Linked DNA regions of Macaca fascicularis. The protein of the gene in region 5 interacts with the protein of the main gene of each other region in a pairwise test. Links are inferred from orthologs where the notes say so. Each region holds a gene or a part of one and is shown on either strand. Other genes may lie near its edges.

Region 1 (3,500 bases), about 40 Mb from region 5:
ATTGCAGATAGCTAGTTGCTTCTCCTAGGACTGGGATGACACAGGGGAGAGACTGGAGTTAGCAGAACCTAGAACCTTGAGGGAAGAGCCCCGCAGAGCTGGGACTCAGACCTCGAATGAGGGGACACTACTGGTGCCTCTGAGGGGTTGTAATGAGGCTGGTTCTGGGAGTGTCAGTAAAAGCTGCAGACTGGAACCAACTGCTACTGCCAGGGTAAAGGGCCAGGCTTACACAGTACTGACAGGAGCAGGAAGCACAAAGGAAGGAACGAGGTGCTTGTCACTCCAGTCACTGACAAACAAAATTATAATTTGCACAGTTAGGCCCAGCATCACCAAGTAGAGTCTAGAAGGGTGGATTTGGAGCTGACAAATAGTAGCTTAATATCTGTTACCACCTACTCCTTTGACTACTAGTATATCCACACACTTGTACAGATACTTGAATTTCATTTGACAACAACAACAACTTTATACTTTCTCCTTAAAAGATGAACTTCTTCATAAAATCAGAGTTCAGCAAACTTTATAAAGGGCTTCATAATAAATACCTTAGGCTTTCATGGTCACTTATGATCTTTATCACATATTCTTGTTGTTTTTTTGTTTATAATCTTTAAAAATATAAAAATCATTTTTAACTCAGGGGTGTACGAAATGAAGCCATGTACCCCTCGATATAAATGAAGTTGCTCTCACCCTTTCTCTAGAAAGGGATGATACCAGTTAATGTGGCCATCTCTGGGCAGTGGTCATGGTATTGATTACTATATGATATTAATTACCCTTATAAGTATTCACATTCACAACAGAATATTTTTAATTTAAAGGCAAAAGTGTAAAGTTAACCACTACTAGCAATTCATACATAAAGGTAAAAGGAGGTATAGAGGAACAGAAAGATTAATTGCTGTATTTACAGGAAATATACAAATACAAAGAAGAGAGTCATAGCTGCTCTGATTCTTATTTTAGTAACTGATCATGAGGCTGTAGTTAAAATTTAGAACTTCCTTTGTTCATTAAATGGATGCTTAGATCCCTTTGCCCTTGGGCAATACTTCAGCTGGTCTTTTTTTAAAAAAAGTTAATACCTAGAAGGGTGACCTAAACCTTCATTTTTTGTGTCTGCATATCCAGGGTTCTTCAGTGCGCCACCTTTTCTTTTTCTTCTGTTTTATTTTAAATTAATTTGTTGCCGGAGATTTCTGTTAACTCTTCATATCTAGTGAATTTTTCATTTCATATATTTTATTTTTCTTCTCTTGATGTTCCATCCGGATCTTCCTCTCCCCAGCTATTTATTGAGGTATAATTAACAAATAAAAATTGTTTATATTCAACTGTATATCTCAATACAACTTGATGTATTGATAAACAAACACACACAAACACACACATTGTGAAATGATTACCACAGTCAAGGTTATTAACATATCTGTCACCTCACATAGTTATATTTCTTTTGGTGTGTGGTGAGAACACTTAAGATGTACTCTTAGCAAATTTCAAGTATACAGTACAGTATTATTAACTATAGTTACTATGCTGTACATTAGATCTGTAGAACGTACTCATAACTGAAAATTTGTACACTTTGACCAACATTTTCTCATTCTTTGCCCTGCCCATCCCCAGCCCCTGACAACCTCCCTTCTAGTCTCTACTTCTGTGAGTTTGACTCTTTTCAGATTCCACGTATAAGTGAGACCCAGACGGTACTTGTCTTTCTGTGTCTGGCTTATTTCACTTGGAATAATATTCTCTATGTTTATTCATGTTGTCCAAATGGGAGGATTTCCTCTTTTTAATGGCCTAATATTGTTCCATTTCCTTTTTGGTTGGGGAAAGGTTCCACTTAAAATAAGACACCAGTTTTGGTTAGGAAAACTTGAAAAATTAGAAACTTGTAACATGGTACCTGACACAGGTCCCTAATGTAGGTAATCTGGAGCATTCTGGTTCGTGCATATGATTTGTTAATCATAATAATAGATGGTTATTAGAGGGGAGGAGACATAATAGTTGACTCTCTTTTGTGTGCCAGTGCCCATGCACTTTTCATTTAATCCTCCCAGTAACACTGAGGTAAGAAGTTTGCCTCTTGTTTGGAAATTCTGAAAGGATAAGCAGATTGTCAAAGATTGTGACATAAAGAACCGTCTGGAAAATATTTCAAAAGTATATGGCCTTTAAGTTCAAAGATAATACATTTGAGATGAAGACAAGCCAATATACTGGTGAAACAAATGCCAGTGAATTCAAAGGACAAGAGAGAGTCATTGAATCTGTTAGAGATGATATGTGTGGGAATAAGTTAGTGAAGAATTAGTAATAGAGCCAGTGCCATTTTCATAGACATCAAACTTTATCTGAAGGAAATTATTTGTGGATTGCCCAGTTAATTATCATTGTTCTTTTCAAGGAGTGTTTCTAAATATTGACACATTGTATACGGTTTTGTCAGCAGTTGGTAGCAAGACCTTCCAGTGTGAACTATATGGTGGCTCCTGTAACTGGTAATGATGTTGGAATTCGTAGAGCAGAAATTAAGCAAGGGATTCGTGAAGTCATTTTGTGTAAGGATCAAGATGGAAAAATTGGACTCAGGCTTAAATCAATAGATAATGTAAGTATTTTAAATACCTATTTGAATTTGTCTAAATATCTTACATAATTGATTAACGTTAAAATAATTTGAAATGGAAATGCTTTAATTATAATAGTGCATCTGTTGTTGAGAATATTTTAAATCTACTAACTTAAATTTGTTCAGTTGGGGACGTTCTATTTTGCAGAGGCATAGCTGGGACTTCCAACCACATTACTTTGAAAGATGTTTTTCTTTTCTGAATATTCTAACTGGAATACATTTCACTGGCCTACGTATATTATAATGTACTTTGTATAATAGAATTGTGGCAATTAAATAGAGCAGATGTGAAGGTTAAGAAAAAACTGACCAATAATAGTCAATGTCGGTGTGCCTTTTTTTTTTTTTTTTTTTTTTGAGACACAGTCTCGCACTGTCGCCAGGCTGCAGTGCAGTGGCGCGATCTTGACTCACTGCAACTTCCGTCTCCCAGGTGTGTGCGCATTTTTAAACCAAATGATCGGTATTTAACTTGTGAGGTGGTTTTTGCAGATTTGTTATTAACATCCTTCATATTTGAATTTAATAGGTCATTTTTTGAGTTTTTTGAGTAAAAGTTTCTTTCTAATTAGGGCAGCCATTACTTTATAATTACCTCTCACCTTAATATACTGAATATATGAAACAGGGTTACTCTCTGAGGAACCATTTAGAATTGTTAAGGACGTGCTGAGTCTTTACCCCAATTTACAGTTTCAGCCATTACCTTATTGGATTCAGTTTCAGTCATACATCTGTAGCTTAGTGCATCCAGCCTTTCAACACAGAAAATGGTAAGTGTGGTGCACTGCTGTAAATGGAGGAGGCTGATCTTGGCAGGAAGCCCCAACCCTGCCTGCCCACCCAG
Region 2 (4,193 bases), about 16 Mb from region 5:
GTCACAAAATGTTAAGCTAGACCTCAATTAGCAAATGTGTTCACTGTTCTTCCATGGCCCAGGACCTGGATTCTTGTGAAACACCTAATTTAAGGTCGAATCACTGTATCAGTAGTACTGTCCATAAGTTTCAGCCTCAGTGACCAAAAAAACTTCTTTGGATATGTATAATAAACATTTTCATCAGATAAGCTATAAGGCAGGATGAACCCTAGACCAACGTTTAGGAGAAGTGGAAGATACAGCGCTGCCTCTCAACCAGTTAACACTGTGACTGTGCGCAAGTCTTCACTGCCTGGCATCTGCTTCTTTGCTTTAAAAATCATACCATGGTCAGTTACTAGATGGTCTGTACAGCGGAGTCCAGTTTCTCTTCTCTTTATTCACCCAGAGGGACAGAGTCATCCGTATCAGAATTCTGTATTCCAAACACTTTTCTTTTGTTCTGAGCCTATCTTTCTATTTTATAACTGCCTACTCCTCATAAAGGCACTGAAAGAATACAAAAATCTCCGGTGTTTGTGCTTCGAACTCTGAAGATATTAAACAATGCAAGATCTTGACGTAAGTTCAATATGACTAAGCACTTGGGACAAAAGATGACCCGAAAGATGATCCTTTCAGTTACACAGTCTATAAATTTACCTGTAATACCTAAAGTCAGCTGCTATTCTAGATGTCTATTTTCTTGGGGATTATTCCCCCAACTATCCCCCAACTATCATGCCATTCCCCCAGCTATCATGCCAATGGATAGACACTAAAATCTTGAAATACGCGTAACACAAGGTTTATCAACAGTGGCACTTGGGGCCTGATAATTCTTTGTTGTGGGAATCCTGCTGTGCCTCATAGGATGTCTGAGCAGCACCCCGGGCCTCTCCCACTAGATGTCGGTACCAGCACCACCCCCACAAGAGGTGGCAACCAAAAATGTCTCCAGATATTGCTCTAGATAATGTCCCCTGAGAGAGGGGAGGTAAATCCGGCTGGTAAAGAACTACTGATTTAAAGAACAACTCTTCCTTTTACATAAGAGAAGCTTGACACTGCCCCCTTTCAGCGCCTAAAACCACCTTAAGAAGAAAGTGCTAGCTAACCTAGGTTAGGAGGCCGAGGCTGCTTCCTGGAGACTAAGAAATGCACTCAAGACCTACAAGGCCTTTCCCCACAGCTTGATCCTAAGTGGAACGGCCAAGAGAAGCGTGGCAAAGAACTCTGGATCAGGAAGCCCCTCTCATCTTTACCATAAGCTAGGTGCACTGCAAAGTACATAGGAAATAAGCATGATCTGAAACAGGCCGGCTGAAACTTTCGAGAGAAACCAGTTCAGGCATTTCCAGGTAGCAAGGGACCACCCGGGGCAGCTCCGCCCCGCGCCCCAAGCCCGGCGGCCTGCGGGGCCTCCCGGGGCCGGGTGCCCGCCCGGAGCTCCCGCCACGCCCACCGGACGTCACCCGTTACACAACGACCCCCGCCCCCAGCTTATGCAATTCTGCCCTCCCGCGGCTCCCAATTGTCCCGGTGACTTTTGTGGGTGAGGAAGGGAGACGCCGCCTTCCCGGCCTAGTTGTCCTCGTGGGGGATTCTCTCCCCACCCCGGCAGTCGTTTCCCCGCGGCGGGCCTGGCGCGAGAGAGTCAATTCCCGGAAAGCGCGCGGCAGGAAGCGAGCGGCCGCTCGGGATAGCCCAGCTCCCACCCATCCCGCGCCGGGGCACCCACGGCTCCGGTCACCCACTCCGCGCCCGGAGCGCGCGCCCGACGGCCAGGCCGCGGCCGAGGGAACCCCGCGCCGAGCGCCCCTCCCCGCGCTGCGTCACAGTCGGCTCCCAGGGCGATCCCCATTGTGACCGAAGCACCCCGGGGCGCCGCCCCCTCCCACACCCCCCAGCACCCCGAGACCCAACACGCCAGTGGCCCAGCGGCCCCGGGGAAGCAGAGGAGACTCCCGGGACGCAGACAAGCTCCGGGTCCCCGGCCCTCGGGGCCAGGAGGGTGCGGTCGGCCCGGCCCCGCCGCATCCCCGCGCGGTCACCTGCTCGCAGCGCCTCGCAGGCGGCGGCCAGGGCCTCCCGGTAGCGCCCCTGGTGTAGCAGCTCCCCGAGTCTGCCAGCCGCCCGGGCCCGCTCGCGCTGGCCCGGGAACCACTTCTCGGCCAGGTGGTTGAGGACGACGCTGGTTCTGAAGTCTGAGGCGGCGATGGCGGCTGCCAGAGGCGGCGGCCGCGGGGCGGTCCCTTCAGCATCAGTGGCACTGGCGGTGGCGGGCGGCAGCCGGTCCCGGCAGAGGCGGCAGCGGGCGCGGAGTTCCCTCCGCAGGCAGCGGCGGCAGTAGCTGTGGCCACAGGGCACGGTCACCGGCTCGCTCAGGAAGCCCCGGCAGCCCAGGCATCTGAGGAGCCCGCAGGCGCCGCCGTCCGCGCCCGCAGCCGGGGCCGCGCTCCAGCTCAGCCCGTGGCGGAGCCGGTAGTTGAACACCAGGCAGTCCACCAGGGCGCCCAGGCACTCGGGCCTGGCCGGGGCCCCGCGGCGCAGCGCCGCCGCGAACGCCTCCAGCGCGCCCTTCAGGTGGCCGCCCAGCGCCAGCAGCTCCCCGCGGCGGAGCAGCAGTTCCCAGCGCTCCGACTCCGCGGCCGCGCGCTCCAGCCGAAGGCCGCTGCCGCCGCCCACTTCCCAGAACCGGCCTCGGCCCTGCGGCGCCGGGGCCATCTCCCGACTCCCTCCCGGGGAACTCCTCGCCACCGCCGGAGAGGACATGGCCCGCGGAGGGCTGCGCTGCCGCCGCCCGCCGCCACGGTCCGGGAGCCTCCCGGGCGCGCGGCTCCGCACGCGGCCCGCGAGCAGGGGGGCGTGGCGCGCGGACACGGCGGGGCGGCGCGCGCCCGGGAAGCCCCGAGGGCGGGGCCTGGCGAGGGCGGGGCCGGGCTCGGCGACGGCGCCGGGACTCCCCCACGCAGCCCGCGGCCGCGCTCGCGAGGAGCCAAGCGCTGGGCCCCGCCCCTCCCGAGCCCCCTCCCGGCGGGGGCGCAGGTCGGATGATTCCTCCGTCGGAGATCTAATTGGCTTCTCCGGAAAGGAGGGCTCGGCTCGTGACGGAACAAAGCCCGATGGAGCCCAGAGTCTCCGTCCCCGCTTGCCTGCTCGCCGACGCCCCCACCTGCGGTGGCCCGCGCCCTTGCCGCGCGGGACTCAGGGTCACCACCCCTCCCCCGACGCCCCCGCCCAAGCCGGACCTGCCCCAACTCCTGGCGGGCGGGGGTCTCCCGGCGTGTCCTCACGCTTGTGCGGGTCTGCATTTTCATTCCTCTATGCCCAGGTTCCAGGTGGGCGCTCCCAAGCAGGGGGCCTGGGAGGGCACCTTCGGCAGATGTCTGGGACTCTTCGGTTCTAGAGGACTCAACTTTAAACAGGAACACAAAACCCACGTTCCTGGGGCGACTCCCTCCAGAGGGCAAGGAGTTTTTCCTGGTGCCAGGTGACTGCTGCCCTTTGCTTAAAACTCATCGTAGGCCCACCTCGAGGGAGAAAGCCCACACAGTTCCTCAGGTGTCTCCACACCTCAGGCACTGCCTTACAGCTGGTTAAAGTCTATAGTTGGCATATTTAAAAGAAAACACCGAGAAAAATGTTTTTCACGTGGCGGTCACCGTATTACTACAACCCAAGCAGGGTCTGCAGTTTTGCCAACAGAAGAAAATGATGGGGTTGATATATAATAGGTGCTATTTCCCTTAAACTTCACAGCGGCAAGTTTAAAGCTCTCCGCTGAAAATATTTATAGATTTGATTATAGGGTATTAGATTGTTAATGTTAGGAGTCACTTAGAACTTTTAGTCCTTTTTCAAATGATGGGAAACAGAGGGAAAGTTATTTGTCAAAAATCACACAGCTAATATAGATTTTAAGATCACGTCTATTCCACTATTATGTTACTACGTTAGACTGATCGTATATAATATTTAATAAAATAATAGTAATATTTCATAGAAATAGATTGTCAAAGGAAGTTGCTAATTGGAAAGTTCACGTGAGCATAGTATGTCTGAAAATGGTATACGTTTAATATTTCTCTTTATAAGGAACGGCAATTAAGGCTAAAAAATGTTTTGAGTTAATGTGTTTTCACTACACAATGAGCAAGTCGTGTAACGTCAGAAAAGATAGAGATATATTACCCTAAAGGGAATGAATA
Region 3 (2,477 bases), on a different chromosome or scaffold from region 5:
TGTACTCAGATACATATACACAAACTTTATCATAACATTTCAGGGGTTATTGACTGATAAAATCTATTCATAGACGCTCTAATTTCAAAACCTCAATCTAGAGGCTAGTGTAGGGTGAAAATAAGTTGCAAGAACTCAAAATTAATTCCAGGATTGAAGAAAAAGTTAGTGGGTTTTTTTTTAACATTAATTTGAAAACAAGTCACTTTGGAGACAAAATTACTACTTTCAGGAATCATTTTCATTGATGTCTTTAATTTCACAAACCAAATTATATAAAATTAAGTAGTATATATTTCAAACGTAATAATTGTGCTCTGTACAATTCAAGGCACACTTGGATTTTTTGTTGGTTTTTTGTTTGCTCTTTAACAACGGAAAACTTATACTCTATTCATTCAAGATTTTTCCATCAGAACTTTCATTTTGTTTGGGTTCACAGGTGAAAATATTGTGAAAGTTCATTTCCACCACAATGAAGGATAACATCTTCAGCCCCATTTATTTACTAACAACTTTATTGAGATACAATTCACATACCATATAATTCACCCATTTAAAATATATAACTCAATAGTTTTTAATATATTGTTATGTGACCATTACCACAATAAGTTTAGACCATTTTCATGAACCATAGAGAAATCCTGTACCTATTAGATGAATCCTGTACTCCCCATCCATCATCCCTAATTCTAGCTTTAGGCAACCACTAATGTACAGGAAGTATTTTTTATAGAGACAGGGTTTTGCTATGTTGCCCAGGCTGGTCTCAAATTTCTGACCTCAAGCAATCCTCCTGCCTCAGCCTCCCAAAGTGCTGGGATTACAGGTGTGAGCCACTGTGCCTGGTCCTTTATTTCTTTTTATGACTGAATAATAGTCCATTGTATGGATATACCAGAGTTATCTATTCATTAGTTAATAGACATTTGGGTTGTATCCAACTTTTGGCCATTATGAATAATTCTGCTATAAATATTTGTGTACAAGTTTTTGTATTGACCAGCCCCTTAATTTTTGACTACACAACGCAAAAAGTAAAAAGAGAAGAACTCTTATAACAAAATTATACAAAATATGTTTTGCAACAATTTTAGATTTTTCAAGATTCAACCATTTCCATATGTAACATCACAGAGGCCTGTCATGACAGGGAAACTGGCGTCATTACTCTATCATAGAATTGGGAAATTCCAGAAGGTTAGATGTTCTCTAAGACCCTTCTTACACTAAGTTAACGACTTACTCCTTTCTATTATTTCTTCATAAACAGAAGAGGAAAGACCAGAAGAGGAAAGGCTTGCCATACTAATCTGAGTTCCCTGTGCTGGTTTGAAGTACTCAGTTCCCTTACCAATTTCCAACCATGTTTTTCCTACGACTTCAATGTTTGTTGAGTGTATGTATGATTCATAAGATTTCTGATCAATACTATGTGTGTGACATTGAAAGGAGTCAAAATCAATGTATGACTTAGCTGCATTTATCATTTATTAATTGATGACACATGTATCCAATAATCAAAACATTTGAGAATCTCAACTTATGCCTGAGCCTCTTTCATCAGCGATTATGATATTACATTCACACAAGTTCATGCATTGAATTTATCTGATAAGGACAGATTCAGAGGCATAGGAAGCACATTCCTAAAGATTTGACCATTAGAGTCGTCACACAGAAGACTCTACTGATTATTTCTTTTGCTTTGTATTTCAGAACAATCTTACTTTGGATTTTTGATTTAATTTCACTGAAATTCAGTGAGCATTACCTGATGCTAGCATGTGAGGCATAATCTGGAAGGCTGAATCACAAGTTACTGCTAGGGGAGCCTGCCAAGCTTTGCCATTCTTTCAGGGGAGGGTTTCCCTGAGAAGCCAGTTTTTTTAGATAGTCACTGGGCTCCAGTTGGGGAATATCAGGGTTCTGCCTGTAATATTTCTGCAACTTCTCTAGAACTGTGGGCAACCCAACTGTGGAAGCATAGAACATGGGTCCGCCCTTGTGCCTTGGCCATCCATATCCATGTAAATAGACAACATCAATGTGCTCTGGGCTAGTAGCTATACCTTCTCCCAAGATATGGAATGCTTCATTGATAAGTGAATATAAGCAGCGCTCAAGGATCTCATCCTGGCTAATGGTACGTGGTTCAATGTGATAGGTTTCTCTATACTGTGATAGGAATTTGGAAAGCCAGGGATCGGGTTTGTGAATCCTACCCAATGGCTTGTCATACTGATACCAACCCTTACCTGTCTTCTGGCCAAATCGTCCTAATTCACAGAGCATATCAGGAATTGGGCAGTATCTCCTATTGCCCCTTTTTCGGGCAGGAGTTCCTGGAGGCAATGTAGGTCCAGTAAGACCTTGCCCCTTTCTAGATTTCCAGCCCACATCCAACCCAGCAAGATCGGACACTCTAAAAGGTCCCATTTTAAAACCAAACTCTTCCAGCACCTGATCTACCT
Region 4 (3,500 bases), on a different chromosome or scaffold from region 5:
AAGGAAGTAGGCTGTAGACAAAAATGACTCGTAAGTCTGGCCATAGTAGCAGCTTTAATAGAAATTCAAACAGCGTCTGAACATGCATGCTTCACGAATTTGCACATTTGCTTAGGCTACTATTTAAATTACTTTCCTTTCCCTGTGCACACGCCAATAGGCAGTAGAGAAGACAGCCCAGGTGCTCCCCAAGCTGGCTGGGGGGAGGGGGTGGGGGCGGGAAAGAGGATGATGCTGGAAGAATCAGATTGAGGTGAACACAAGGCTGCAGATATTCCACGAAGTGGACAATCAAGAGTCAACCCTGAAACCACCTCTCCCTCTGACCTGGCAGCTTTCTCATGACCATTCTTCTCTCTTCTTCCGTCTTTGTCCCTTCTGTGTGCCCCCTCCTCCAACACCCTCACCCGCTTCTCCCCGCCTCTGTCTGTCTGTCCCTCCCTGCCTGGCTCATGCCGAGGGCAGGCACCTCTGTCAGCCTCCTCGCAGTTGTAGTTATTGTGTGTGGCGTGGCCCTGGTGGCAGTTTTTCTCTTTCTCTTTTGGAAGCTGTGCTGGATGCCCTGGAGGAACAAGGAGGCCTCCAGTCCCTCTTCTGCTAATCCCCCCTTGGAAGCCCTCCAGAGCCCCAGCTTCAGAGGCAACATGGCGGACAAGCTGAAGGACCCCAGCACCCTGGGCTTCCTGGAGGCGGCCGTGAAGATCAGCCACACATCCCCAGATATCCCAGCTGAGGTGCAGATGTCGGTCAAGGAGCACATCATGCGTCACACGCGGCTGCAGCGGCAAACTACAGAGCCAGCCTCATCCACCAGGTGAGGAGTGGACCGCTCCCTTCCCTGATCCCACACCTCCACACTCCCTTAATACATCTATGGGATTCCAGCCTGTGAGGATCAGAGATCAGAAATAATAACACATATCCTTTGATGGAGAAATATGTCAGAAGATGTGATCCATGATGGGTGATCAACGAGGAGGAAAGACTTCACGAAAGGGAAACCTTTGAGGCTGGTTGCTGTACATGTGGTGTGCACTTGGGGTATGTGTGGATATGAGGGGAATGGAATAGTGGAATTGGGGAGTGTCGGATGTTTGGAAGGAAAGGCTTCAGGCAGAAGGAAGAGAACGGCAAAGGCCTGGAGAGGTAAGAGTTCATGGTGTGTTTAGGGATATGTCTGTAAAGCCCGATAGCTACAGTCTGCAGTGCGTGGCAGATAAGGCAAGAGAGTCTTAATAGTTTGAGAATGAGGATTCCTTTAAAGCCTTTCAGAGTTCCCTGTATGACAACAATTGTAAATACATACAGCATCCTTTAACTGAAAATAGCAACAAGAAAAACGTAACGACAAAAACCTACCCCAAATTCAGAAATACTTTTAAAAGATGTGGCGCAAGCATGTGTAAGGCATTGTATTTACTCAAAACTTAGGGCTCTGATGGATTCCTAGGTCCCTGCAATGGCTCTCCAGGCCCTCAGGGGACCAACCAAAGAGAATGAGTCCTGATCTTCAGACTGGAGGCCAGGAATGAACATGCTAGGGGTCACACTGACAGTTTGTCATATGGCCTTGGGCAAGTTCCTCACCTTCCCTTAGCCTCGCTTTTTCCAACTGTAAAATAAGGCTGATGACTTATATGGCAGTTGTGAGGAGCCAATGGAAGAATGAATGTAATCGATAAGGAGAGCTAACACATATATTGCTTATGATTATGCTTGGCTCTGTTCTAAGCACTTCATATGTAATCAATTCATTTTACTCTCACAGCAATCCTATGTGGTTGTTACTTTTATTATCCTCGTTTTTATGGCACAGAGAGGTTAAATAACTTTCCCAAGATCTCAACTGGAAAGTGACAGAGCCAAGACTGACCTATGCAGTCTAACTCCAAAGCCCATGCTTTTACCACTCCGCTGCCTGCTGTATAGCAAATGCCCAACAAATGGAGATGCTGATGACGGTGATGAAGGGGGTGCCACACTGATGATAAGAAGGGATGGTCCTTCTCTTAAGGGATCTCATGATTTAATAAGGAAACCAGAGTTTTGTCTACTAGGAAGTAAACCTAAAAAGCAGGTAACAGAAAAGCAGGAAAAAGTGATTATGATAGCAATGGCTAACATTTATTGAGCTTACTATATATCAGGCGCCATTCCAACTACTTTACATATATTAAGACATGTAATGCTCACCACAACCTTGTACACCAAGTGTGTGCAGAGGAAAAGTGGGGTCAAGAAGAGGAAGGAAGAGGGGGCTCAACAAGGGATACAATGAGCCAGGGCTTCCAGGCTCGTGTCTGCCTTCATCCCCCTTCCCCTGAGCCCTGACCACACTCCCTCTGCCCCCTCCTGCCCTCTACCAGGCACACGTCCTTCAAGCGCCACCTGCCAAGGCAGATGCACGTCTCCAGTGTAGACTATGGCAACGAGCTTCCACCAGCAGCAGAGCAGCCCACCAGCATTGGCCGCATCAAGCCTGAGCTCTACAAGCAGAAGTCGGTGGATGGGGACGATGCCAAGTCTGAGGCCACCAAAAGCTGCGGGAAGATCAACTTCAGCCTACGTTATGATTACGAGACGGAGACCCTGATTGTGCGTATCCTGAAGGCTTTTGACCTCCCTGCCAAGGACTTTTGTGGAAGCTCTGACCCTTATGTCAAGATCTACCTCCTGCCTGACCGCAAATGCAAGCTGCAGACCCGGGTGCACCGCAAGACCCTGAACCCCACCTTTGATGAGAACTTCCACTTCCCTGTGCCCTATGAGGAGCTGGCTGATCGCAAGCTGCATCTCAGCGTCTTCGACTTCGACCGCTTCTCCCGCCATGACATGATTGGTGAGGTCATCATGGACAACCTCTTTGAGGCCTCTGATCTGTCTCGGGAAACCTCCATCTGGAAGGACATCCAATATGCCACAAGTGTGAGTACAGCCCTGTTCCTTGGCTTTTTGAGGATTTGTGGTTCTGGGTTGGGTTGGACATGTCCCCAACCCCTCATTTCCTAGAGACAAATGGGCCTTTTCCTTTTGGGATAGGAAGAGGGACTCTGGAAACTGCCCAGTGGCCCAGCCTACCCTTGCACTCTGCCCCAGGTTGGAATGGCAGACAGCAGAGTCCCCATGTAGCTAGGAAGGGGAGGGATTTTTTATCTGTGGCTTCTGGTTGCATGTTCTGGGATGGTTCTTTCTACTGAGAGTACTGATATAGAGAGTACTGATATAGATACAGAAACCTGGCATAGGCAATCGAAACAGGCCATATCAATTAGGCTGAACCAGGCTATGCTGCAGCAGCAAACGATCTGAGGATTTTGTGGCTTTAGACAACCAAAGTTTATGCCTTGTTCATGTTTTGTGTGCTTTGCATCTGGGCTGGGGACTCTACTCCACCTTGTTACCTGGGGACCCAAGCCAACAGACGCTGCATTTAGACACGGGCCCCCACAGTTAAACATCAGGAGGAAGAGGAAGTGGCAAATCATGCACTGTTTATTAAA
Region 5 (4,127 bases):
TTTGGTGAGGGTTAATTTAGTTAAAACTAGATATAAATCTTAACGTGGCAGTTGTAAGCTTCCACAGCACAATGTCAATGACAACCAATCAGTGAAGAAGCCACTATTAATTAACCTTTTCACATGTGAAGGCCCTCCCTTCTTACAGGAGACCTGAGACCAGCTGACATGTTCAATGACTGGAGGCACCTGTGTCTTTCCAGATCCAAAAAATCACGTTTCCATATTATTTTATATTTTTAAGTGTAAGATACAAACAAAAGGTATATTTCTTCCTGACCTCCAATAAATCATCTTGGACACCGTCCGTGGTGTGCCATCTCACTCTGGAAACCACTGTTCAGAGAATGCATAGCCCTCTCTCCAACATCAAATACATTCACCACTAGTTACATTTATTCAATACACAGAAAATTCGTGGTGAGCATGTAACACAGCACCTTGGAAGAATTCTCTGCCTCTCCACACCTTTCCCTGGGCTTTATAGTCTCACAGTCTGGTAACCACTAAACAAGCTATAAGAGGGAAACTTATTTGAAAAAAAACAGATTATTCTTATAACCAGGAAATAAAAGCAGAAGCGAGGTAAAGGAGATAAAGTAAGTGGTACAGATATTCCAACTGGTGGATGGGAAATCAAATTCTGTTCTATTTGAGTAGCACTTTTCCCTAGCTTATTCTTAATGAACATTCATGTCATGATCATGCCAATCCAATTAGTCACTTTATATATAAAAATGCAAGCTGTTATGTATTATGTAGCTCTTTTGTCAAATAAGAGTAATTATAAAATTTTTTAATCAACTGAAAGGAGAGAAAGCACTGCCAACGTTATCTTAGAATATGTTCATCAGCTGAGCAGTGAAGATCACGGCTTTGTTTCTTTTTATCTAGTATTCTCCAGTTTGGATTTTTATGATCGTTGTAACATGAACATATTCATATTTAATTATTTGAGATGCATTTCCCCCAATCTTCTGAGATTCTCTAGCAGAATATTTTTAAAGTAAATAAAATTTAAATCCAAGAATGTAGTCAAAACTAGATAGTTTAAAAAAAATCCGTGTGAACAATATGGAAAGACCAACTCAGTTAATTTTTGACAACCAAATTGAGTGGATTCGGGAGAGATTTAGAGCAAAAATATTTATGACTAGGTCTAAATATTTGTCTTCCATGAGTAACATAGCAGAGATACTGCATTAAAAAGGTCAATCGGAAGTTTGTTTTTGAGAAATATTACCAATTTTGGATATACTCAATCTTTCTTAGAGTAACAACATACGTTTTAGATAACACCAGCTAACTACAGAACAGGTTTAGAAAAAGTTAATAGTGATGAGAAATGTAAACTTCGTGAGCATATTTTCGGGGTAGCATTCATGATAACTCGAGAACTCGAATTTATACCAATTCTGTTTTAAAATGAGTATTAAATCTCTAGGATCAGAAGAACACAAAATTATAGCCAACAAACCACACTCTGGTTCGAATTTTCAGGGCATGTTTACTCTACACTGAATAACGGGAAAGCCATTTTTAATGCCACTGGACAATTTCACTATTTAAAAATTTACAGTGTTTCCCGAATGTGCAGGCACCAGAGTATTTTGGCAACTAACACAGTGAAACCCATTTACCTTTACCTTAGACTCGTAAAGGCTGAGTTACTTCTGGGTGTCATTTAGCAACGCAGTAAATGTCTGCCTTGAACAGTCAAAATTTCCCAAAGTAGCAGAACAACTTTCATGGGTGGGGCAAAAGGCTGGGAAGGAAGAGAATTCATTTTGGCTTGCTCCAGCGCTGGAAGAACACTTAGCACCACACCCTCCGCAAAGGCCTACCTAACACAGCAAAGGCGACTGTCAAATCGATCCCTTTTGGGTCTGCTGTCCCCGTCCTCTAGGGAATCAAAATAAGGCAAAATAATAAAACGAGTACAGAGAAGTTTGGCGGCGTCGGGGAGTGGGGGCTTGAGGCATCTCAGAGAGAAGGGCAAAAATCAACAAGAAAATGCCCCCATTTTTAAAATCCTGTCTTCGACCTCGGATGGGAGATTTTGTTTATCCACGGGCAGTTTACTTCTGTCTCCCTGACCCAGCTCCACAGGCTCTGGTGCTCGCCGCCACTTTCCGAGCAGACCATTACTCAGCACGGGAGCCGGCGCGCCTCCTCCCGCAGGCGGGAGCGGGGTCTCGGGGACAGGCGGGAAGAGGCGCGACCGCCCGGGCGCCCAGGTGACCGCGGCCCTCTCCGCTCCCCAGTCCCCGCGCCCCCTGCACCGCGCATCCGGGAGCCCCGGAGCCCCCGGCCCGACCCGCGCCGGCCCCCAGGCAGCTGAGGCGCCGAAGGGCAGGCTCGGGGACAAGGGTCCTGAGGGTCGGGAGGAGGCCGCGGGGACCCTGTGCTGTCCCCGGGCGCCCCCAGCCCGCGCACGCCCACCTCCCAGCCCCTCTGCCCAACTTCACGGCTGCCCCGCCAGCCGGGTCCGCACCCTCCACCCTCGCCCCGACCCACGGCCCGCCGCGCCCACTCACGCCCCCGTTACCTTTCCGTTCTTAGGGCTGCCGTTCAGGAACAGGGTCACCCGCCTCATCGCGCTGCCCCCGCTGGGTCCTGAGTGAGCCGCCACCCTCCCACCTGGTCCTACTCCCACCTTTTTCTCCTCCCGCCCTTCCCCTCCCTCCACCCACTCGGATTCGCCTCCCTTCGCCACCTTCCTGCCCTTGGGGACACACCACACACACGCACTCTGTCCCACACCCAGGGCTCGGCCGGTCCTCCTTCCCACCCCGCCCCTAGGCTCCTCAGCCTGCCTGGGGCCCTTCCCCCACCTCTCCGAGACTGACATTCAGCCTACCAACCAACCTGCGTCACCGGCCAGGGTCCAGCCAATCAGCACCCAGTATCGGGCGGGCCCTGGCTAACCTAGCCGGGATGGAGGGAGGGAAGAGACGCTGAAGGCTAGTAGACGGGAAGGGGCATCAGCCAATCAGAGAGGCTCCTGGAGCCGGACGGCGACTTACAGCGTTACTGAGCAGGCGCACACTCAAGTCTAGGTAGCGCTCATCTGCATACGAGGGCGGGGTCTACGGAAAGGAGGTGGAGCGCTGAAAGGGACCCAAGCACCAGTCAGCCCCTCCTCCTGCGTTAGCCCCGCCCACAAGCCGGCCCAGCGAGGAAACGGCTGCGGTAGGGACGGAGTGATTGGGTAAGAGCCAGCTCTTCGCTCTGTTAGGATTGGTTGAATGAGTCTTTTCGAAGTTTGCAGCATCCAATAGAAAGGTGGGAGGCGGAGTTAAAGCGCTAACAGAAGCGTTACTCCGCGAGACTCTCCTGGAAAGTAGTCCCCGCGGTCACAGGTCAGTAGTAGGTGTCTGTGGTCGGCGGGTTGACTGCAGCTCGCGGTGGCCCCACTCCGAGCCCAGGAAGTCACTGGGAGGGCTCGGAGTGTGCGCAGACCAGAGAAAGGGGCGGTAGCGGAGTGATTCGTAGAGTAAGTTCGGCATCGAGGGGCGGGGCCGGGAATTTGAATCGGGCGGCGGGCGGAGGAGGCGGCCGGGCAGAGCGAAAGACAGGGACTGCGCGGGGTGTGAGTCCGAGTCGGCCTCAGGGACCCTGGACTCCTTGTTCGGAGAGCGGTTCCCGGCTACGGGTGCTTTGCCAGCAGAGCCCTTCCGGACAGAGGAGCCGGGGTCTGGAAGCAGCGACCTACGCGAAGCTCGCCTGCCTCGGGGCTCTGAGATTAAGCCTATCTGCCTGGCGGGCCTTCAGGTGCGGCGTGAGAGGTAGGATTGCAGCCACCCTGCCATGGGGCTGCTTCTCCGGGGCGTTTTTATGGCGTTTGTTCGGCTTACCCTGCAGCACAGAGTTAGTACTCCTCTCAGGAGCTGCTCTGGGTGACCAGGGGTGCATCCGGACCTGCTGAGACAATTTCTGGAAATGGACGGAGCTGCGTCTTGAGACGGGTACCCTTATGATTCAGGTCTTCACTTCGGTTGAAAAGCCATGGCTTATCCTTTGGGGTCTGCTTTGGTGCCTGAACAGCAGTTTCCTCCATTTCTTTCTGTTTAATTTGGCCTTAAAAGTACGCGCTTTGAGTAGAAGAATGGTTAGCACAGGCTGGG
Region 6 (3,500 bases), on a different chromosome or scaffold from region 5:
TTAATTGGGCATCCTATATTTTTATTTGTTAAATCTGGCACCCCATCCTTGCCTGAGAATAGCACCTCATTTTTATCTTTCTCATACCACAATCATTTCATATCCTTCTCACACAACACTTATTTTTTTATGGACCCTGAGCACCTTGAAGGCAGGGATTATGTTTATTTTCCTCTGAATCTCTACATCTCTACACAATGCCTAGAACAAATGTTTTTGAATCAAATAGAACAATTCTCAGGCTTCATCTGCGAAGTCTGGTTGAGGCCAGCAGCCCTCTCTTTGGCCTCAAGTTAACAAATGTTCTGTGCTTAGAGGAAGAGTCCCATGGTGAGCTCTATAATCTCATGATCATCTTAACAGGGTCTCATCCAGAACCTATCATAGAAAAAAAAAAATCGGAGAAATAATGTACACAGTACCTTGCAGATATCACTCCATTGCCCAGGACCATTATCATTGATGGCTCTAACTTTAAACACGTATTCTGTGTTGGGGGTCAGGTTGTGCAGCTCCAGATTCTGCTGCATTATGTCCCGAATTTGTCCGCAGAGCTCCATTTGTACGTTGTTAGGAGGGGAAGTAATGACTTCATAGAATTCCATCTCAAAAGAGTCCACGTCTTCTGTTGGACATGTCCAGTAAACCTATGGAAGAAATGAACATACTGGTGTGGTACTAGTATACATCATTCAGTTTTCTTTCCATTAAAGATTTGTGATGTTGACTATCTGTGGGGTGAGTTTAAGCTGACCCTATCCCCTGTAGCTGCCGAAGACTTTTAATTAGACTATGCATAAGTCTTGAAAGGCTGTGTGATGAGGCCTGGCATGATGCTTGTGATGAGTTTCACAAACAGAAGGTTTGTGACTGTTACTGTCAGCCAACGTGGAGGTGACAATTGTCCTCCTGCTTGAAAAATACTGAAAAATAGAGGGGAAGAAAATAAACATCACTCGTAATCTCACAATTCAGTTAATTCATTATTATTTCTTTGCAATTTCAGAACACACACACACACAAACATATATGTATATAACTTGGATTATGTTGCTTTGATTTCTATTTTCTTTTACTTATGTTGTATGTTTTCCTAAATCATTAAAAATTCGGTAAACTACCATCTTTAAAATTTCTCCCGAAATAATTTAATCCTTCTATGGTTGAACATTTAGGTTGTTTCTAATTTTATACTCTAATAAATGCTGTAATAAATACTGTTGGGCATAAATATTTGTCTGAATTTTTAAGAATTTTCTTGGAAGAGATTCCTAGAACTAAAATTGAGTTTAAAAAATCTCTAGGATATTAACTGTACATATTGAAAAGTTACAACATTAAGTTTTAGAATATTTTCCATGCTAAAATCCTAAAGATTTGAGAGTGATGTTAACATAGACTTAATCTTCTGCATTGCTAAGCACTATGATTCCTGTATGAAGTCCATTCCATTATCCTAAAATATGAATCAATGATATTTTAAAATCGAATATCACTATCTGGAAATAGGTTTAGGTGTCCTCTTTTGACAGCAAATGACTTGACTGAGTTGTTTTGCATAGGTCCCTTTTTTGAGCTCATCAGGGGTGACTAATAGGTGGCATGGGGTGACTGTTTTCCATGCCCAGGTATAGAGCAGATACTACCAATTCTCTGGCTCCATAGCAAGAGCCTGCCAACTTCTCAAGAGGTCTGAGTTGGTCAGGAGATGAGACCCAGTGCTATCCCTGAGGTAATAAGCATACACTATAGGCCTTGCTGATCTAGTATCATTTGGAAATGTAGTTCAGCTGCTCAGTTATGGGCATTGCTTATGTGAAGGGCAGAAACACTTCATTATGTCAATAGCCCATGGAATGTTCTATCTTGCAAAGTATGGGTTGTTCTTTGTGTCAGTTATAGACAACAAAACATAGATTATGATGTGTCAGGAGAATGGAAAAGTAGAGCTTGGTCTGTGTCTGGCCTTCATTTTTTAGATCCTTAATAATAAAGTGTGGGCTGTAGACAGCAGCATTGGCAGCACCTGGAAGTTTGTGATAACCTGAATCTCAGGCCCCATTGAAACCTATTAAAATAGAATCTGCATTTTAACAAGATCCCCAGGTGCACATCGATGTTTGAGAACTGCTAGTTTAGAACTCAAGGATCTAAAAGTCTTTGGGAGTGTTCTCAGATTATGAGAGACAAAAGATGAACTCTGCCACGTGGGAGCAGGACATGGGCTGACTCTAGAAAAAAATCCAAGAGGAGGAAAGAGGAACTCAAATAGAATATTTCATTGCACGTTAATTTTTTTCCTCCATAAACCTTAATAAAGTGTTCTACAAACAATTCAATGTGGGTTCAACTAGATTTGAAAGGTATGTTAAAGAAAAGGTCATTTGTTCATGTTGTTCATGTTAGGTCAAGAGGGTCAAAGGGAAGTCATGTTCCTTGAAGCCAGGCAATGGCGCTTATAGAGATCTGTGAGAGACCCCACTCTTCACTCTCTGCCTTCAAGGCGGGTTGAATCTCAAAAGAGTTGAAATTTCATTGGGGATGATCCTCCCAATTTTTCCAAATCATAGAGAGTCTGGATATTTGCTTTAGGAAAGGTAGCAATTTAGAGGAAACAGCTGGTAGGTAATGGAGCCTGCATTTGTAACTCCAATTTCTGTGCTGTCTCTATTACAGGCTTTCCTTTGGGAAACATTACACTGCCAAGTAGTGTCTTCAAATTACTTTGGTTCCCAAATAGGGTTCTCTTTCAGTTGAGAAGTTGCCTTTGCAGTGGAGGTAGGGCTTTCAGATATATTTACGACTATAAGTTAAATATATTGACTGTTTGGTTTAAGCTAATCTTGGGTTACTTAAGATTCCCGGAACTTATCCCTTTTGAATGGGATGACCACAAAGAGTCTAGAGGAGCAGATTTGAGTGACCAGATCCTAGAGGTCAAAGAGATAAGTGCAACTTTTCCTGACTACTGACTTCTACTCTGTACCCCAAACCCTCCCACCTTCCCCACTGGGCCCAGAACTTTTCTTACCTTGGCAGCTCTTGGGTACACCAGAGTCTGGTAGATAACAATTGGGCCCGGGGTCTTCACAGAGCCATCGTTGAATGAGTACCAGTTGTGGAAGCTGCTGCTGTTCTGTACAGACTGGCTGTCTGCTCCAGCACACCAGTAGGTGTAGAGACCATCTGTGGGTTTGGCGGGGGTGGCTGACTGGGCTCTCCCACAGGCCTCCAGACCCACCTTGGCCTTCTCCTCAGTGTTGCTGAAGGATAAGATGGAGGAGCTTCGCTGGTATATCTGCTGGTTGCCGAGGCTGTGGGTGCTGAAAGTGACCTTCCTGGCAATCATTGTTTCTGAGTGCACAGGGTAGGGGGAGGGCAGTGAGTCCCCTGAGGAGCATACCTTCTTGGGCCCTGTGGGGAAGAGCTCATGGATGGCACTGGAAAGCTCAACAAAGTCCAAGGGCATGCAGTTTATTGAGTGTAGCCGGAGCTGTGGG
Region 7 (2,888 bases), on a different chromosome or scaffold from region 5:
TTGGATTTTGATTCTTTTCCAGGTTTCCCTAAGAACTTTTTTTGTCCTTGATGATTTTTCATAGTGTTTTAGGAAATTCTTATTTTTGTGGTCTATAGTTGTATTGAGATTGTTTGAGGTCACTGAAGTGAGATTTCTGGCTGAGCATTCAATCTCATGCTACCTAAGGAGCAAATGTTTTCTCAAGCTTAAAATTATTTGGAAGTTTAATTAGAGCAAATAAAGTATTTCATCCTTATCTTTTAATTAAATTTTCTTTCTAAGTAGACTGTAATACTGGATGATATGTATTACTTTTATAAACAAAGGAGTTGTTTCTTTGTTTCTCTAGAGTGTTATGGAAAGCAGTGACAGATGTGCTTTATCATCTCCATCTTTAGCCTTTACACCACCAATCAAAACTCTAGGTACACCAACACAACCTGGAAGTACTCCTAGGATTTCTACCATGAGACCTCTTGCTACAGCATACAAAGCCTCTACTAGTGATTATCAGGTATTTTAAGGATTAGATAAAAAAAAGATGTACCTTAGCGGCTGAGTGCATAGCATGCTTAACTTTTTCATTGTGTTGATTTGTATGCTATTAAATGTTTCTTGATGAGGCTATTACCTTGATGAAACCTTTACACTTTAAAAATTTTCTTTTTTAAAGTTAGCATCTTGGCCAATTGGAAAGTTATCATGAATTAAAGAACAATTTATTTGCCATTCCTTAAAATTTTTTGAGAGTTGTTTTAGCTTTTTCTAAGTTATATTTGCATACATACAAAATGTATCCCATGTACATCTTTGACATGAGGGCGCATTAAAGCACTATTAAATTGGTGACTAAATTGATGGTATCCAAAGTGCAGAACCTTAGGTTGGAGTAGCTTTGGTTATTGAAATGAAGACATTGACCAACTCCCATTCAGACAGAAAAAAATTTCTCATTTCAAAAAAGCTTAAAGAAGTTAATTATGTTCTTCGAAGAATGGTAGAAGTATTATGACCTCATTCAGTATATTATTGTCTCCTACTGAGTAGCCAAGTGTTTGAACTTAACCAGCTGCAGAAACAGGTCCTGCAAACACAGTACATGAAACACTTGTGCTTTAGTAGGGCAGATAGTGGTAGTTCAGTTTTTTGACTTCCTCTGAAATTTGGAGATCATTCTAGAACTGTTTCTTTAGTTTCTGTTACTGTTATTTTAAATTTCCCATTTTTTGCAGCTTTTGTTTTATTTAGTTTTCTTTCTTTTGTTTTGAGATGGAATCTCACTCTGTTGCCCAGGCTGGAGTGCAGTGGTGCGATCCCAGCTCACTGCAACCTCTGCCTCCTGGGTTCAGTTGATTCTTCTACCTCAGCCTCCTGAGTAGATTACAGGCACGTGCCACTACGCCCAGCTAATTTTTTGTATTTTTAGTAGAGATGGGGCCATGTTGGCCATAGTGGTCTTGAACTCCTGACCTCGAGTGATCTGCCCACCTTGACCTCCCAAAGTGCTGGGATTACAGACATGAGCCACTGCACACAGCTATTAAATTTTCTAATTTAAGAAACAGATATTATTTGCTTTTCCAAAGAAATGAAATTTTGGCATTCTTAAAAGCATAAGGATATTCTAAGTCCATATATTAATTTTAAAAATATACAATTCAGTGCTATACATGCATTTTGGTGTTTCTCTTTTAAATGAGCAATTCTAGAATTGACTATGACACTGAAGTAACAATAACCTAACAGCTTTGTGTGTGTGTGTGTTTTTAATAGGTTATTTCTGACAGACAAACGCCAAAAAAAGATGAAAGTCTTGTATCCAAAGCAATGGAGTACATGTTTGGCTGGTAGTAGAAGACCAAGGAGGAGGTTGCTACACTAAAACCGAGTTAGCAGAGTGCTGCTGGTTCCTTCGGTTAGTTATATAACCGTTCCTGCAATATTGGATAGCTGTCTCATACTTCTTTTAGAAAGAAGCCTTTTTCATTAAGGATACAGCCTTTTTGTAGCTCGCACTTTAAAAGATGCTTGAGATACATTTTAAAGAAAACTAAAAATCCCTGTGAATAGGATTTTGTGCTTTCTGTAACAGTGCATGCTTCAGCACCGAAAACTCAGCATTGATTATTGTAAATTAAATAACTGAAATTGTGGTGAGACTTCTTAGTCTTCATGAGAACGTGGGGGTGAATTTCATGAAGGGGAACTGTAGTTATTTCTACTGACACAAAGATTATAATTAGCAATTTGAATTATGGTCTTTTAATTTAGATAGTATTTAATATTTTAATTATCCTTGTTTGTATATGTCCTGTCACAGAATGTCCTCTTGATGTATTCTAAAACGAGCATTCTTTTTAAAAACTTACTACTAAAGTTTCTTGATAATAAACCTTGTCAATGATATGTGTATTCGTCTGTTTGCATTGCTATAAAGGAATACCTGAGGCTGGGTAATTTATTAAAAATAAAAGAGGTTTATTTGGCTCAGGGTTTATTTGACTTGTAGCTGTACAAGAAGCGTGATGCTTTACTCATGGAGGAAACTGAAGGACAGTGAGCATATCACATGGTGAAAGAGAGGAAGAGAGCAGGAAGAAGGAGGTTCTAGACACTTTTCAATAACCAGATCACACATGAACTCATTACTGCAGGGAGGGCAGCACGCCATTCATGAGGCATCTGCCCCCATGATCTAAACATCTCACTCTAGTCCCCACTTCCAACATCGGGGATCATATTTCAACATGAGATTTGGTGGGGACGGATATCCAAATGATATCAATATGTATTGAACATTTTTTGAAAGGGCAGTTTATTATAAAAAGCTTTAAGTACTTTTTGAAAGAGAAAATATGTTATGAACCACTATATACCAGCTTTAATTACCATTAAATTTTGCCATA

The links.
Region 1: the proteins of KCTD9 (region 5) and SDCBP interact in binary tests that used the Homo sapiens proteins (3 or more experiments, as listed by UniProt). The two-hybrid records come from large-scale screens. The link is inferred for Macaca fascicularis from reciprocal best matches to the Homo sapiens genes KCTD9 and SDCBP.
Region 2: the proteins of KCTD9 (region 5) and LONRF1 interact in binary tests that used the Homo sapiens proteins (3 or more experiments, as listed by UniProt). The two-hybrid records come from large-scale screens. The link is inferred for Macaca fascicularis from reciprocal best matches to the Homo sapiens genes KCTD9 and LONRF1.
Region 3: the proteins of KCTD9 (region 5) and EHHADH interact in binary tests that used the Homo sapiens proteins (3 or more experiments, as listed by UniProt). The two-hybrid records come from large-scale screens. The link is inferred for Macaca fascicularis from reciprocal best matches to the Homo sapiens genes KCTD9 and EHHADH.
Region 4: the proteins of KCTD9 (region 5) and SYT6 interact in binary tests that used the Homo sapiens proteins (3 or more experiments, as listed by UniProt). The two-hybrid records come from large-scale screens. The link is inferred for Macaca fascicularis from reciprocal best matches to the Homo sapiens genes KCTD9 and SYT6.
Region 6: the proteins of KCTD9 (region 5) and TRIM42 interact in binary tests that used the Homo sapiens proteins (3 or more experiments, as listed by UniProt). The two-hybrid records come from large-scale screens. The link is inferred for Macaca fascicularis from reciprocal best matches to the Homo sapiens genes KCTD9 and TRIM42.
Region 7: the proteins of KCTD9 (region 5) and NUP35 interact in binary tests that used the Homo sapiens proteins (3 or more experiments, as listed by UniProt). The two-hybrid records come from large-scale screens. The link is inferred for Macaca fascicularis from reciprocal best matches to the Homo sapiens genes KCTD9 and NUP35.

Annotation. Positions count from the first base shown.
Region 1 is NC_088382.1:68,553,354-68,556,853, forward strand, and holds part of SDCBP (syntenin-1), read left to right. Parts: intron 1-2,467; coding exon 2,468-2,629; intron 2,630-3,500. UniProt on the Homo sapiens protein: Multifunctional adapter protein involved in diverse array of functions including trafficking of transmembrane proteins, neuro and immunomodulation, exosome biogenesis, and tumorigenesis.
Region 2 is NC_088382.1:12,685,945-12,690,137, forward strand, and holds the start of LONRF1 (LON peptidase N-terminal domain and RING finger protein 1), read right to left. Parts: upstream 2,801-4,193; 5' UTR 2,758-2,800; coding exon 2,037-2,757; intron 1-2,036.
Region 3 is NC_088376.1:97,125,400-97,127,876, forward strand, and holds the end of EHHADH (peroxisomal bifunctional enzyme), read right to left. Parts: coding exon 1,816-2,477; 3' UTR 501-1,815; downstream 1-500. UniProt on the Homo sapiens protein: Peroxisomal trifunctional enzyme possessing 2-enoyl-CoA hydratase, 3-hydroxyacyl-CoA dehydrogenase, and delta 3, delta 2-enoyl-CoA isomerase activities. Catalyzes two of the four reactions of the long chain fatty acids peroxisomal beta-oxidation pathway.
Region 4 is NC_088375.1:120,219,533-120,223,032, forward strand, and holds part of SYT6 (synaptotagmin-6), read left to right. Parts: intron 1-465; coding exon 466-814; intron 815-2,366; coding exon 2,367-2,925; intron 2,926-3,500.
Region 5 is NC_088382.1:28,648,388-28,652,514, forward strand, and holds the start of KCTD9 (BTB/POZ domain-containing protein KCTD9), read right to left. Parts: upstream 2,801-4,127; 5' UTR 2,597-2,800; coding exon 2,549-2,596; intron 1,903-2,548; coding exon of another isoform or gene 1,845-1,902; exon of another isoform or gene 1,647-1,844; intron 1-1,646. UniProt on the Homo sapiens protein: Substrate-specific adapter of a BCR (BTB-CUL3-RBX1) E3 ubiquitin-protein ligase complex, which mediates the ubiquitination of target proteins, leading to their degradation by the proteasome.
Region 6 is NC_088376.1:43,544,831-43,548,330, reverse strand, and holds part of TRIM42 (tripartite motif-containing protein 42), read right to left. Parts: coding exon 3,032-3,500; intron 648-3,031; coding exon 423-647; intron 1-422.
Region 7 is NC_088386.1:78,717,134-78,720,021, forward strand, and holds the end of NUP35 (nucleoporin NUP35), read left to right. Parts: intron 1-331; coding exon 332-496; intron 497-1,755; coding exon 1,756-1,833; 3' UTR 1,834-2,388; downstream 2,389-2,888. UniProt on the Homo sapiens protein: Functions as a component of the nuclear pore complex (NPC).